Linked DNA regions of Drosophila melanogaster. The protein of the gene in region 2 interacts with the protein of the main gene of each other region in a pairwise test. Each region holds a gene or a part of one and is shown on either strand. Other genes may lie near its edges.

Region 1 (3,949 bases), on a different chromosome or scaffold from region 2:
GCGATTCTGCCAGCGTTCCATGATTTTCGATTGCGATTTCAACGATGATTACTCGAATCTCGGCCAGAAGATCCACTTTATATATCGCTGCGATGGTTGCGTGCGCTCTCCAAACGAGTTCTAGCCTAGTACACTGAGAGAAAAGTTCGAGCCAAACAATAGAATAAATATATAATGACTTGGTAACATTACGATTATGCTAAATTCATGTAATTTTAGTATAAATCATCGAATCTTTTTTTAAGAATAATTTCCCAATGGGCATACCCATTTTTTTGTAAGTGCATCTCGTTAGCGTGTTGAGAAATTGCCATCTCATCACTGTGACAATCAGCCACGCCCTGTGATACGACAAAAGGGGCGGCAGGCGTTGTATTTGCATAGTTAGAAACGATGAAACTTGTATTGTTTTTTGTACTTTACAATGCGAATCTCAAGAACATATATTTATACGAAGTGCTCAAGATAATCATACGGTGGAAAATTGGGTCTATTAATCTTATAAATGGTTTGCACCTAGTTATTTAAATTTGATTTGTTTAAACTAAATAGAAAAATCGAAATATTTACAATGTAAGCTTGATTTGTGCTTTAATTATTTGTATAAAAAATAAAACTTCAATATTTGACTGCCGAGTGAAAATAACAATAGTAACCTTTGCCATACATCACATTTTGCCTATTTAGTAATTAGCATATAAAATATATGCGATTTGAGTTTACAACGCTCTTCTCACATTCAATTTGCCGCACGTTAACTCATCTCTGTATTTATTAATGCAATTAACCCACCCACCGATTTGTGCCAACTGATTATTTTCATATCTTATGGATTTATGACATTTATTTTATACATTTTCGCCAAGTACGAGTCGTTTGAGCTGCACAAAACGGACGTTTGGTTCGAAAACTAATTGTGTATGTATATGGCCCATATGCGATTCACTTTAGTCGTTCGGTGAAGATGCTCGTGCTGTCATTGTTCGTGGCATCGATCCTACCAGAAGCCACCCTTGGATGCACTGCCTCCGCCGTAGTTCATGCTCATGTCCATGCCGTTGTAGGCGCAGAAGGCTTCGCCATTGTCGATGCACGGTTCATTTCGTCCGGGTATGTCTCCATATATTGAACGGTCCACGGGTGGCGGCACTATATGCTGGGCTCCTGTAATGGGCATGCCACACGACATGGCACCCGGCATGGCACCCGGCATGGCACCCGACATGGCACCCGGCATGACGCCCGGCATGGCACCCGGCATGGCAGCCGGCATGCCACCGGCTCCTCCGGCGTATGGTAGCATGGAGTGTGCCTGAGCTGCGCCCTGGCTAGGCCAACCTCCTAGTCCGCCGGCTGATCCTAATCCTGGTGCTGCTGCTGTTGCTGATAGTGGTGGTGGAGCGGCTGCTCCAGCGGCAGAGTGCTGCATGAAGTCACCCATCTGCGGATAAACGGGAGCATTCAACGGCTGGCCATTCCAGTACGAAAACGAATTCGACATATTGTGAGTTGCGGTTGAGTAAATCCTAAATACAAATAATTTGGGAAAGTGGTGAAAAAGAAACAGTTTTTCTTTCGATTTTTTTTTTTTTGACCAAATAAAAGTTGTACAAAATTTTGCTCCGCTGAACGGTGTTTACTGTTTGGGATCTAAAATATAACTGATAATCTGGAGCTCCGGCTGGGGTACCTCGATTTTTCGGCTTGACATTTAATTTCATGGATATGTTGATTGGAAATTTTTGGAAATTTTTTTTCGACCGATTGCAGTTGGCCATGAAAATACATACGATATTAAATTGATTGTTTTACCTTGGCACATATTTTAGGTTTAGCTCTTCCATAAAATGCCTAAGAGTAAATATATTTTCTAAATATTTTGAATAGCAAATTATAAGTTACCATAGTATATATGTACATCATCGTAAAATATTTGATTTATTAACCTGACATAAGATTGTTCATAAAGGTTTTTGTGCTTCTAATTCAGGTCATTCCGTGTTATTTAGCATACAATTTTATATTGTGATAAATGACATTTCTTTTTATTTTCATTTCATCTTTTTGCTCTTGAGTCTTGATTCCTATTTCTATGATTTTTTTTTTTTGGTTTAGCCTTGTCGGAAAATGGGGGCGGTGGGCGACCGAGGGGCGTGGCATGGCCAGCGTTGTGTTTAATTTTTGAAAAAGGACGCCAACTGTCGTGATGCAGCACAGATGATAATGACGAAGACGCGGCAACAAACGTTTATTTACACACTGGGTATTAAATGGGTATTAAAGACTTGGTACCATAAAATAGAAATAAAACATTGTGCATCTAATTACTTTGCTAACTATAAAACAATTATAAAACTGCATTAAATTCGATTAAAGTAATTGAACATTTTGGCAAATATAAGCAATTATATGCTATTTCGTGTTTAACTTTCAACTTGATCTTATAGCCCATCTAACACGTTTTGATTCACACATGATTGGCATTTAAATACGGTATTTTTAAGGTTCTCACCCTCTTGGCCATTCACATTCCACTTGATTCTTGTGCCAAGCATAAAATGCAAAACACTTGAACTGAGTGAAAACGAAGGCGAAAGCAAAATAAGCAACAACAAAATGTCTCATAAACCAACCAGATGCAGTGAAAGAAAATTCATACTAAAAATATATACATATATAACAAATGTACAGTATAAATTATTACTTTATAGTTCTAGTTGACAATAAGGAATTAAATGTTTCAACATTGCGTATGCTTAATATTCAATGCTGATATTGCGTATACGCAACGTTGGCCGCATTTTATTTTTAACTGTGCCTGCGAATATGAAGAATAAGCAGTAAGCTGAGAGAAAAATAAAAGAACGCAACATGGCAGGGTGTTGATAATGATAGCAAAGACAAAGGCCCACGCCTAATGGGACACGGAATGACGACTGAGGGGCGATGATGAGGCGTTGGCCGGATGGCAGGATAGCTGGATGCTTGGATGGTTGGATGGTTGGATGACTGTAAGGCCGGGTGACCATCCGACTGTCATGCCCACGTCCTTGACGCGCTGCAGTGGCGACAACGTAGTTAAATTGCCTGTCCTCGGCCGGCGTCAACATTGTGTCATTGCTAGTATTAAATCAGAGCCAAACAAATGATGATACATAAGTGCGACACAAGTGCGCAAAAAAAAGAAAAAAATATACAAACACAGCGAAGATTAACCGAAATGCTGGGTGGGAAAATTAAAATTACAGCACATAGCTTTGGTGCACTGAAAGAAAAATCCAGCACATTTTAATATTCAAGGTTCTTACTTTAACTATATAGTAGTTAAATTGCAATAAAATTGAAGTTATTTAAACCGATACTATTATTTATGACTACACACTGTGCACTTCTTGTGCAAAGAAATTTGTCTCAATATAAATTATGCTGGAATTCCTCTGGTTTTTCGTGTCTTAAGCGCTGTAAGTGATCAACTGAGTTCATATTTCAACGCCTGACCTTGGGTCATTCCAAATTATGTGATGCCAACTATGCCGGATGGGAGACTGATGGGCCAGGGCAGCTGGGTTGGCGAGCTGGTAACTAGAAAAGGGCAGCGGGTAAAGCGGGAAGACAAAGAGGCCAGTGCATAGCATAGTTCATCAAGTTTGCAAACAAACGCATACCACAGTCGGACTTCAAGGAGGCGAAGCGTCTCGAGGGGGGTGGGGGACTTCGACTTGGGTCAAATATGTTAGCAGTTGCATTCTGTTTTGGCTGGGAACAGCAAACATTCAAGTAGCTGGCAAAGGACAAAGGACCAGCACAGTGAGCCAAAATGACAAAGTAAATATAGTAAGGAAAAAAATTGACTTACAGATTAATTACTAAGTTAATTCGGTCTTTGAGACTATGTATGCAAAGCAGTATTGAATTTATAGCAAGCTTCATAAATTATGGAACTTAACCC
Region 2 (5,622 bases):
CAATACGCTTGAAATGGCAACTTGGACAAACAGGACGGGCAGGGGTAACAATAACACGGGAAAAACCGAAAAACTCGAAGGCAAATGCAAGAAAAATTGGCTGGGCCTGTGCCCTTTTTCCTTCTGGCCAGCTCTCATTCCGTTCCCTTTTCCTGGCCAATTTGCATGCCTCTGTCCATAGAGCATTGTTGACTCCGTTGGCTTCGCTTCTTGGAATGTTCCAAAACGCATTTTGGCCAGCAACGAGTCCTTGCCACAGACCAAACAATGGAATATTAGATGTGACAAAACAGGTGCACGTGTCCAGCCATAGTAGCAACTGCCTGTAGCCAAATTTCTGAGCTGGAAGCTTTGCATTCGCCTCAGCCAGTTGGCAATGGCCATGGTTAATTGTCAAACTGCATGCTGGAGGCCATAAATCCCCATTTTACAACATACGTACAGTATCAATCAGAAGTCGATGGGGGTACTTGACAGAGGACTTCTAAAATTGCAGGTCTGAAATGAATACGGGGGTTAATCCTGAGTCCTGGCAATCGGTCAACGATGTGAACAGTTAGTATTGATCTAGGAAGAAGTTCAATTTCGTAAACCATAGGACATAGTGAGTAAAAAATATGCATTTATGCATTTACATTTATTGAAAATAAACAATCAACATAATGGCTATAGCTCGGTTGTTGTTGTTTAGAAACAACAAACAGACTCCGAATCGAACCAGATTATGTCCCGAAATCCGCTCTTGAAACTGACAGGTTTTAACTTTCCATGTTGCGTAGAACGGAAACAAATATCTTAAAAACAAATTTCCATAATTCCATAAATACTTGGCCCGCATAATGAAAAATATTTGCACAACTCAAGATCAAAAGTTTGGTGGCAGAGCCGGAATAGTTTAGTTTCAGGGTTTAGACAAGCAAGACAGCAACTTTCTGATTTTTCTTGCCGGCGATTAAGTTGCTAGCATATGGAAAGTTTGCTTTTTGGCCAACAATTTCCAGCTGTAATCGTGTTCAATTTGTGTGCACAATATCTGGGAAGAAACGCGTGCATATGCAACTATTGTGGCTCTCGCAGCTTAATTACAAAAACCGAAAGGGGTTTAGTCCGAGCACATAATCACTGGCAAGGACACAGACCGACCGCCGAGGTCCTTTGAAAGTATGTTTTGTGGCCCTGTGCTGTCCGTGAGATGTACAAAGCTGGAAGTACAAAGAAACTTACAAAAAGAATTTGGTAGCATCAAAGCAAAAATTTTTAATGAATTTCTTGCCGGCCAACAGAGCCGTAAGCCTGCAAAACGCACCATACGCAAATGCAAAAGGCGCAAAAAGGACGTGGAACCCCAGTCCAAAGCCCCCAGCCCCGTATGTATCCCCTCGTTTCCTGGGAACGGGAATGCAGGGTCAAAGGTCCGGCCAGGACCGGCACCACTTCATCTTCCCTTTTGGCCGCTGGCCCCGGCAATCGTGTTGCTCGTCGGTGGCCTTAATTAAATTTAAATATTTTATCACCGAAAAATTGCCAGGCGGCAGCAACTGCGCAACAACAACGGCAACGGCGGCAGGAGCAGCAGGACATGAAAAGGGTGCAAATGTGTGAGTGGGTGGGTGGGTGTGTGTGCGCCTGAGTGCAGACAGCCGAAAAATACTGATGTGGGTGTATTTTTCATTATTTGCCCAGCGCTGCAATTTTTTTTTGTTTTGCGCCCCACATGCTCGCCCTTGCCATCGCCGCACTTCATATTCAATTGTGTTGAATAATTGCCATACGGTTTTTTGACCAACGGTTTTTGACACTTTCCTAAAAGGACACACGCGCCCTCAAGTGCTCCGCCCACAAACACACATTCACACACACGCACACACACACAAACTCAAGAGCCGCCCTCATGCCACATTTGAAGTTCGTTTTCCCTTTTTCTTCCCAGCGACCGAAAAGTGAGCAAAACACTCGACCAACAGGGGGGGAAAACTCAGAGGACCTCTGGACACACACACACAAACAGACCAACAACAGGCAGCAGAACAGCAACAACAATTATAAAAGGAACTGGGTACAAAAACAAAACATGCCAAAAGCGTTTTTTGAAATATCTTTGTAAATATTTAAAATGTTCTGTACATGCGGGTGCTTCAATCAAACCGAATCGCCAATGGCAGGGGACGCGAAGAAATGGCCAGGATGGGGGTCCTGGAAAAGGTCCTGGGACAGGGACCAAGGCTATTGTGCGCCGGGCACAGGCCGGGACAAGTTTTAAATAGTTTTTGTTGGCAAATGTCAAAATGCAATTTGATATTCATAAATTAATGAAGCGCCATTGCAACAAAAAACCTCTCCTGGATTATAAAGTTTTTACATAAATTATGTGGTTGGGCTTTTGAGGGAAGGGTTGTGATTTAAATCTGGCATTTAAATGTGTAATCCTCGGCTGATTATAAATGCATTAGAACGGAACGGAAAATTGGAAATTCTTTCCAAATTCCATTGAGCTACCATTTGAATTTTGAAATATTGTAGTAAGGGTTACGTTAAAGTAATTAAAATACACTTCAGTGAAGAGGGCTTGTTAGAATAATTCCTTTTTAATACATTTCAGTTCGAAATTTCTGGAAAATTACCAAGTATTCCCTTAATTAAAAAAATTAACAAAAAATTTAATGTAAATTTTTAGTTGATTTATATAAGTAATAGCACGACGACAGAAGTTTTCTATATATTTGTTCAATGCATTGAAGGAATTAAAAAAAGTTTATTTCTGGATTCTCGTGAAAAAGATCTCAAAAAGGAGTGTAGCATCTCAGAATCCCACAAGATATTTATCTGACTTAAGGATCTGTTTTCTTGTACACATGCGCACCCTTTGAACCGCTGTTGTCATTTGCGGCTACTAAAAAAAAATGTAAACAAGGTCAGAACACGTAGCACAATAAAGAGAGCGACTGCCTTCTACTCACACTCTCCCTCTCTTCCGCCAAAATGCAGTGCTCACTTACACTAGTGCAGGTCCTGGCAGGACACCGCCCGAATGGCCCACTTTTCGATGGCTTGTATCGAATTTTTATACTTCGGCACAACAAAACTCGCGACTCGGAGAGGCAGGAACACAAATCAGGATGAGTATGGGAAAAACGAGTAAGCGGACGCGCACGTGGTAGCCGTGAAAACCGGGAAGTCAGGAAGGATATCCTTTCCAAGACATTAACGATTAGTTCTGAGCGAAAAGCAGCGCCTCGTGTCGACGAATTGACACTGAAGAGCCCAGTCGCCAAAGTCGGCGTCCAGCAGTTTCAGTAGCTTTTGAAGTGGCAGCGCTGCACCACCACCGAAAAAAAGAAGAAGAAGGCGACCCATCACACACACACACACACACACACGTGTGCCACCAATACAGGGTACGTAAGGCGAGCCAACCCAAGCAGCGGAATAAAGGCGAACGGCTCTTCTCTGTGGTTGACATTATCGCATGCAACTAAATCACACGCACACACACACACAGCTGCAGGTGCACCCACCCCTCGTCCTTTTTGCACCGCCCTTCGTGCGCTCATTCGCTCGTGCAACGTGGCGTATGGGTAACAATGGAGAGTGGCTCACACACACAGTCACTAACACACGGCTATCTGCCTTAGCGCCATTTATGGCATTTGATATGCTAATTTGCACATATTCATAGAGAGAGCTAGATAGAAGGAGAGAGAGAGAGAGCCAAGGACATCCACCACCAGGACGCAAAGGTGCGAGTATGACCATCTGCTGAACGAGGCCGGCTCATCACCAACTCCATCGTCCTGCTGCCTTGCTCCTGGCCAAGTGCCTCACGAGTATCTCTGTTTTGATGGCTCTTCAGTGCGCCCGTGTTCTGAGTGGCAGCGGGTTAAGTTGCCTGATGAGCTGCACTTTGTCATACGGACACACTCTGGGAGTTCCTTAATTATTTACAGCTCAAGGCGAGAATATGATTTTGCACCAGCATACGAAATCGAGATACTTTTTCGAATAATATTAAGTGATTTTAAAAACATTTTTAATTATCAAATATTTTAAGTAATTGATTTGGTATTCGCGTGCATCTTTGAACTAAAACAAATACCTAATTAAAATCTCTAGCCATTAAAGGATTTTTGGCTTACCATCTACTAGTATTTTATGTTTCTTACCTATTAACAAGTTTATATTCTACTAAGTGTAGCGCACTTTCCGAATTCGTTGAAGTCCTTCGGCTGCATCCACCACCGAGGAGCAGCACCACGTTTTCGTGAGCTCTCTCAACTCTCCGCATGCTGCAAGGATTCTCACCAATACCAATGCACTCGCAGCCTGCATGTACGACACAGAGGCGGAGTCTGAACGCTGGTCATGTAAAAGTCACAAAGCCTTATGTATCCAAAGGGGAGGCGCCATCGAACAAGAGTATATAGTCGCTCCAGAGCTTTAGTATTTCACAGAAATGACAAAATGGCGGACGATTTACGCGTATAAAGGTTCGAAAAAGATCAGTTCCGGTGAAAACCCCCTGGTAAATCGACGCCTCTGCTCTTTGTTTACGAGTTGTTTTGCGGGCGAGAAGCAATACAACAACAGGCTGGCGGCGAAAATGCGATACAAGTCACGAAGAGCCGCTCACCGAGAGCGAAAGTTAGTGCTCCTTGTATCGCAATTTTCCTCGGTTCGCTCTCGGCTGCAGAACTGCGATACAAGCCAGCAACAACTGTGGTATGAGCACGTGGCATCCTGTTGAGCCTGACCAAAGGAATCAGCTGACAGGACTCGGTAGAGCACCTGACACCTGCTAGCCGGCATCGACGACATCCTGGCAGGCCGATGGTCAAACCGGCGTCCAGTTTGACACTTTCCGGACATTATCTTTCGCTGGTCAGAGGGGCACATGTGACACAATCCAACGATGGCATCGTTGGCCCAAAACTTTGTCATCCATCCCGGCAAGAAAGCCATGAATATTACTGCGACTTTATCGGTGGCAGACAGTCTCCTCCTTGCTTCTTTGGCAAATTATGCAAATTTCAGATTTCCCAAGTAAACATTTACTTTACTTTTCAGCGCAGACAGCGTGGCCCGGCGGCGCTTAAACCTCCGACTTGCAATCTCCATCGTTCCTTTCGGCCATTTGACATTTGTTAAGTTTTCTTATCGCGCGCTTTCATTAGCGACCGTCGTCTGGTTCGGCCAGAGACCTTCTAATTGTCTTGCAAATTAGTCCGCCAGTGACGAAAAAATGCGACCCCCAGAGATGCGGGAAATCCCAAACCAGAACCCGCCGTTTATTTACCCATCGAACGACCGGAATGAGGAGCATGTGGCATCTGCTTGAAGGAAATGAAAAGTAAACAAAGCTGCTGCCGTGCCACATTTGGCGGCATGTGAGCGGGCCAACCCCCGTAATTTTTGAATGGCGATTTCCGTTGAGCACGAGGACGTGCTTCTGTCGAGGATTAGCCTCCCAGACACGGCAGCTGGCGAGCACCGTCACCGTGTCCGGCGGAAACGCACAACAGACACGGCCCACTCCGGCGTATTTTTATAGACTTTTTCACTTAATCCCCGCACAGAACCATAACACAGACCTAACGCCAATCGATTAACTGCCAAGTGGAAGGCTTT
Region 3 (5,686 bases), on a different chromosome or scaffold from region 2:
TCTATTTATTTGCATAACTAATTTTTTATAGTTACATGAGGAACTGAAGAACTTTTTGTGTTTATGTCTTGATTAAACAAAAGCAGCTAAGCAGTAATCCATCAATTGTTTTATCCATTAAGAAGATTTCTGTTTCTTGTTCTTAATTAAGAAACGTGTATATATTATACAATGAAGTATTCAATATACCAATTATGAATGATCAAGAAAACAAAAAAGGCAATGAAACTGCTCCACCCTTTAACGTAACATATTTCCATCATTAAGATAATAGTTTCATGTGAGACTATCTTTCGTATATTATTGTACCACTAAGTTAGTTACTGATATTTTGCCTCAGTGCACTTGTCTACGTAATTTAAGTACTAGCCTTCGCTCAAGTACGAATAGTGCCTATCATTACAAGTACTAAGCAAACTGCAACTCACCTTCTTATTAATCGGCACCTCGGCACTTGGCAAGACCTGAATGGCTGGGAGCGGAGGCGCCGGACTGCGCAGCAGGTTGAGATTGATGGACGACAGGTGATTCAGTTCCTGGTGCGGCAGGCAGTTAAGTGGCTGGACCATGGAGCAGGCGGCCGGAGCTGTCCGTTGGGCCATTTGCACGGGCACCTGGACGGGCACTTGAGCCGTCGTCTGCTGGTTGGCCAAATGGCCAGCAGTTGCTCCTCCGGTGGCGGCCAATAGAGATTGCTGGGCAGCCGTGGTCAGGGGAACGCCACCAAAGGCCGAGTGACCTGCGCCGGCGGCGGGTGCATAGTACGCACCAAGTGGCAGGGAAGAGAACATGGCGGAGTGCATCAGTGCGTTCTGGTTCAGCTGTCCGGCGTTGAGGAGCTGCGGTGCCAGATGGCTATACGGGGATCCCATGTGGAAGTGTGGTGCGCCTGGTGCGGCGCTTGGATGCAAAGCGGGCTGCTGATAGTTTGCCGGCGGTGCTGCTGCCGTATTGGGCGACAATTGTTGCTGCATCTGCGGCTGGCCAGCGAAGATGCCGCCCACCGATGTGGCGCCCATCTTGTCCAGAAACGGCGACTGCATTTGCAGCATCTTTTGCTGGTGCTGCTGGGCGGCCAGGGACCAGGGCAAGTACCAGGCACACGGAGCCGGAGAATTCTGCATTGTTGACACGATCCTGGGCAATTATTCACTTCACTGAGAGGAAACTGCAGATTGGATGGGTTTTTTTTTGTTGTTGATCGAAAATGACATTAATATCGCTGCGGATAGAAAACTTCACGGATACATTCCCGAGTTATACGATCATCTGTTGTTTACTTCGATTGCGATAGCATTATGGCTCTTAAAGTCAATTACAAATCGTTTTGTGTACTTGTACGTGTTTACAAATTGTCTTGGCCGTACATATGCTGTTTCGACTGTTTTATTTGAAAAGTCGAAGCGATTTTCGGGCTTGTATAATGCGAATTAAAAACCTAAACAAACGACTTATTTATTTTTTATAGTGTTTATGAACACCTATACCAAAGCTTGCATATTAGGCTCCACGAAATGCGTTAATTTGTGGTTTCTATTAGCGGATTGGCGTTAAAAAATAGCCCATCGCACACACACACACACACACACAAAAGTCGGAACAATATGTTGATTAGCTTTTGCACTGCATTAACTTTGTCTATCGTGTGCGCGTTAATATTTTTTTAACAATAATATTTTCATTGGCCATACATACACAAGAGCATTATTGGATCAAAGAATTTCTATTCGCATGAGAGTTGTAGATTCCTTTTGCTAAATACAAGCCAAACGATAATGGATACTTTGAAAATACATTTGGAATACACGCGGGGGCCATCTGCTACTTGGCTACTCTAATTGCACGAGACAAAGTCTAATATATCCTCTAGAATACGTATAAACCTACATTCGGAACCGTACATGCGTCTGTCAGAATTCTGGCAAGAAGAAATGCGTATGGGGGTGCCTATATATTGGACTGTTTGGATGTGTAATGGATGGAATAATACGTATACGAGACCAGGCATTAGGAGGATATCGGCTCACGATTTAGAATGTTTAGAATCAGGTATATATATATGTACATATGTATATATAGCGTGCATATATACCTCACCACCTACTGAGACAAATGGCACAAATGCGCACGTGTAAACATTTTCATTTGCGCTAGCAGCTTGTGCTAAATTAAGTTTTTGTATATTACTAGGTCCACTCGGGCTGTATCGACAAGATACCAGAATTTCAAAGAATTATTCGAGATTTTCGGTGCCTTAAGACGCAGGAATGTATGTACATAGAGACATAGAGATATAGCCACATTCATTTTTGTCATCAGTCGTCTTTTGTCTTAGTTCCATTTTATCAGCCACAATTGTGTATCTTTTCGAGTGATTTTAGTACATTTCTCAAACAAAATGCTTGCATAACTATATTATGTGTAGACAATGGGAAGAAAAAATATATTTAAAAAAAAAAAATCATCCTATATATGCGCTCGTGTGAACGTTTCATGTGTAAGTCCCCAGATCTCAAAATCACCAGGATGACAATAGATCATGGGCTTAAAAGCAAGAACAACAAATTTAGTGAGAGATACTTCTATATTTATAAGAAAATTTGTATATCTGCGCCAGCAGAAGGTAAATTCGTTTCTAAACTGTTGGTAAGGAAAATACAAAACTAAAATGGCTCATAGAATTTCATAGAGCACAACATAATAATTTTAATGGACCGTTTTGCGACCCGATGGAGAATGTTTCTTTTAGTTTTGCTTTTCCTATTAATAAGCGCATAATAATCGGTTTATATAGCAATGAATTCTAACATATGCCCAATTATTTGAATCATTTCATTCAAAGTTCCATAGTTTCAGCCACTAAAATCCAATAAAATGTGTCATAATATTATTGGTTATGGAAAATTATCGTTTGTCGTTTATGAAAATTTGTATTCTTCAGCCAAAATGTCGGCGCCGTTGATTATTCACTATTATGTTGTTCGAGTTATGTCGACAAAAATTATGTTTCCTTGAGTATTTTTAGTGTACTTTATTTGCAGGCTCTTCGCATTATTTATGCTTTAAATTAATATAATTAATTTATATAACCGTCACTTGCACATTGATTTAAGTTTCATAGTGTTATTAGATCTTTTCACAAAGTAAACCACGCATTTTAAATGTTTTCTGATCACAAATTGACTGCAAACTCGGGGGAATCACACGCGAATTAGAAGTGTCACGTTTTAATACCTGACCGACGATGGCATTCACGCGGCAGCATCAACTTCCAGTCTCGCCGAGTCCAAAACACCGAATGAAATCAGAAAACTTGGCGCAAACATAACAAACTTGGGTTGCCGTTCGCCGTCGTGGTGAATTTTCCGCTGCACAGTGGGGCAAACCGCATTTTTAATTTTAAAATGTTTGGTAGGATCAGGTGTTTAAATGTTTGATTCAATTTACGAAAATCTCGAGCCGGTTTTGCAATATGGTAAAACAAATTTAAAAACTTTAACATTATAATAAATATATTATTCCCAAACAGTTTTATTCTTACCCATAAAATGCATTTTTGGTCCACTGTATAGTGGTGAATTTGTAACTTGTTTGATGCAATGGTAAGTTGTCAATAAATTACATGAAATGTAGTTTTTTTTTTCTAGCAGTATTTCTTCTAAAATAATTTAAAATCAAGTTTATGGAACTCTTATAATTAAAAATCTTGTCTCATGCGCCAAACAGCAAAATAAATAAATAAATAATTCAATTACTAAAATAAAATACTTTGACGAGTAATTACGCGTTTTATTAGAATGTCTATTTCGAAGTGCACCAATTAAGACCTACTTAGGTAAAGCATTTAATTGTTGCCAAAACCATTGAATTAACCATTAATTTGATTAATTTTTGTGGTTTAAGGCCTTAATCCAAAATTCACCTTTCGCGTTCAAATAAAAAGTCGGGCGACTTGGTTGTGGTTGCACTCGAAATGGAACTGCAACATGCAACATGCGATTGCCTGCTTGCAACACATTCCAACATGACTGTATTAGCATTTTTGTAAAATAAAAAGGATTTTACAAATTAGGCCAGAAATTAGTATCGCAATGGTTTTATGACATACGAAATTTAGCAATTCATCTTCTTTTTAATTTTGTAAAGAACTTCTTCAAAAACAAAATTGTGTAAGTGGTCAGCTTAATTCTATAGGACTTCGAGTAAGTTGCTCTTGAATTTTTCTATCAACTCACTGATGTGCAAAGCCACAGGGACCATTTGACACAATTCCCCTAAACAAATGGTAAGTGTCCTCTGGCACACCCACAATTACTCGTATAAAATCCACTTTTTCGGAATGCTCGAAGCAATTTCATATTCAAAATCATACTTCTGGTGTTGCAGCCACAACCTTCTAATATCAGTTACGACTTGCACCAAATAATCATTCGAAAGAATTCCTCAAAAATTACATACCAACATGAATGTACATATATTCTGAAAACAATGCGTTTGCCTTTTCCGATTGACACAGTGAAAATGAACAAAAGAATGTTGAGGCTGATGATGAGCGAAACAAAAGTATAAAAGATCTGATTCACCAAAAGTGAAATTCGTAACGTAGATCTTGTGGAAGTGAAGAAATTCTTATTATAATCTAAAAAAACATAATTTTTGTTTCAGTATCTAAGCAACTTTATCCTTGTAAGTTTGGTTCCATGTTTTTGAGCGCCAAAAAGTAGGCAACAAATTAAGCTAAATCAAGCGAGCTCGTGTTGATCCTTAGATAAGCAAGGACTATTGAAACAACTCAAAGATAGTTGGATTAGTTTTAATAATTTTTTCCAATTAGCAACTAACCAAAATACAGAAGGCATTATGTTTGATCAAATTTGGGCTAAGGCTCCGCGAATTGCGTGTTTGACTGCGTGACTTTTGTTTTCCGAAACTCACCCACTTTCGCACGGGCCATTCCATTCAGATCCCGACGCCATGGTCTACGGGTATATGGAGTGGAGTGGAGTGGAGGTCTCCTTGAAACGCGGTTGGTCACGAAAGCGAACAACAAAGAAAAGGCTTGCCCGTCATTTGAGGCAACATTTAATGGCCACTGGCTATGGGGCTATATGGCTATATGGCTAAAAAGCTATAGGGCTCATCCTGAATAAACAGGGGTTGGTGTGTGTGGGTGTGTGCGACTAGGTGTGTGTGTGTGTGTGTTGGTGTGCGAGAAGTTGACGTTCGTTTGTGAAAACGAAGAAAGTGATTAAATCAGCACGATATTTTGTAGGTGTGCGCTAGCTCACCCATTAAATTTCTCCCATCCGCATTCGTGTATGTGTGTGTGTGAGCCCGCACACACACCTACACATTTGAGCTACTGTTCTAAATTGACTTTTCGCCTGGACAAAACTAAAAATGACGACATCGCGTTTTTTTTCGCTTTCATAGAAAAGCTTTGCCTCTAAACATGCCCATCATGCGCGTGTTTATAAACAACACAGATCTCTTACCAACCTGTATATAACATTTATATGTATATATATATAGAAAGGTGTGCTGGGCCTCCGATTACACTCCCACATGCATGTTCGCACACATGTATGCAGTTACCAAATATGGGAACACACGTTAATGTAATTAAGCCTTAAGGCTGGATAAATGCCAACTCGAGTCGTATATTATTTGCGATATTGCAGGCAGT

What was found.
Region 1: the proteins of trv (region 2) and CG1394 interact in a two-hybrid assay, tested with the Drosophila melanogaster proteins (one large-scale study listed by BioGRID).
Region 3: the proteins of trv (region 2) and RluA-1 interact in a two-hybrid assay, tested with the Drosophila melanogaster proteins (one large-scale study listed by BioGRID).

What each region holds. Positions count from the first base shown.
Region 1 is NC_004354.4:11,169,009-11,172,957, forward strand, and holds CG1394 (uncharacterized protein), read right to left. Parts: upstream 1,671-3,949; 5' UTR 1,502-1,670; coding exon 998-1,501; 3' UTR 803-997; downstream 1-802. Other genes in the region: Antdh (antennal dehydrogenase), read right to left, coding at 1-21.
Region 2 is NT_033777.3:28,024,245-28,029,866, reverse strand, and holds the start of trv (trivet), read right to left. Parts: upstream 3,253-5,622; 5' UTR 2,997-3,252; intron 1-2,996.
Region 3 is NT_033779.5:10,471,048-10,476,733, forward strand, and holds the start of RluA-1 (RluA pseudouridine synthase 1), read right to left. Parts: upstream 3,303-5,686; 5' UTR 3,235-3,302; exon of another isoform or gene 3,101-3,234; intron 1,439-3,100; exon of another isoform or gene 1,280-1,438; 5' UTR 1,125-1,279; coding exon 429-1,124; intron 1-428.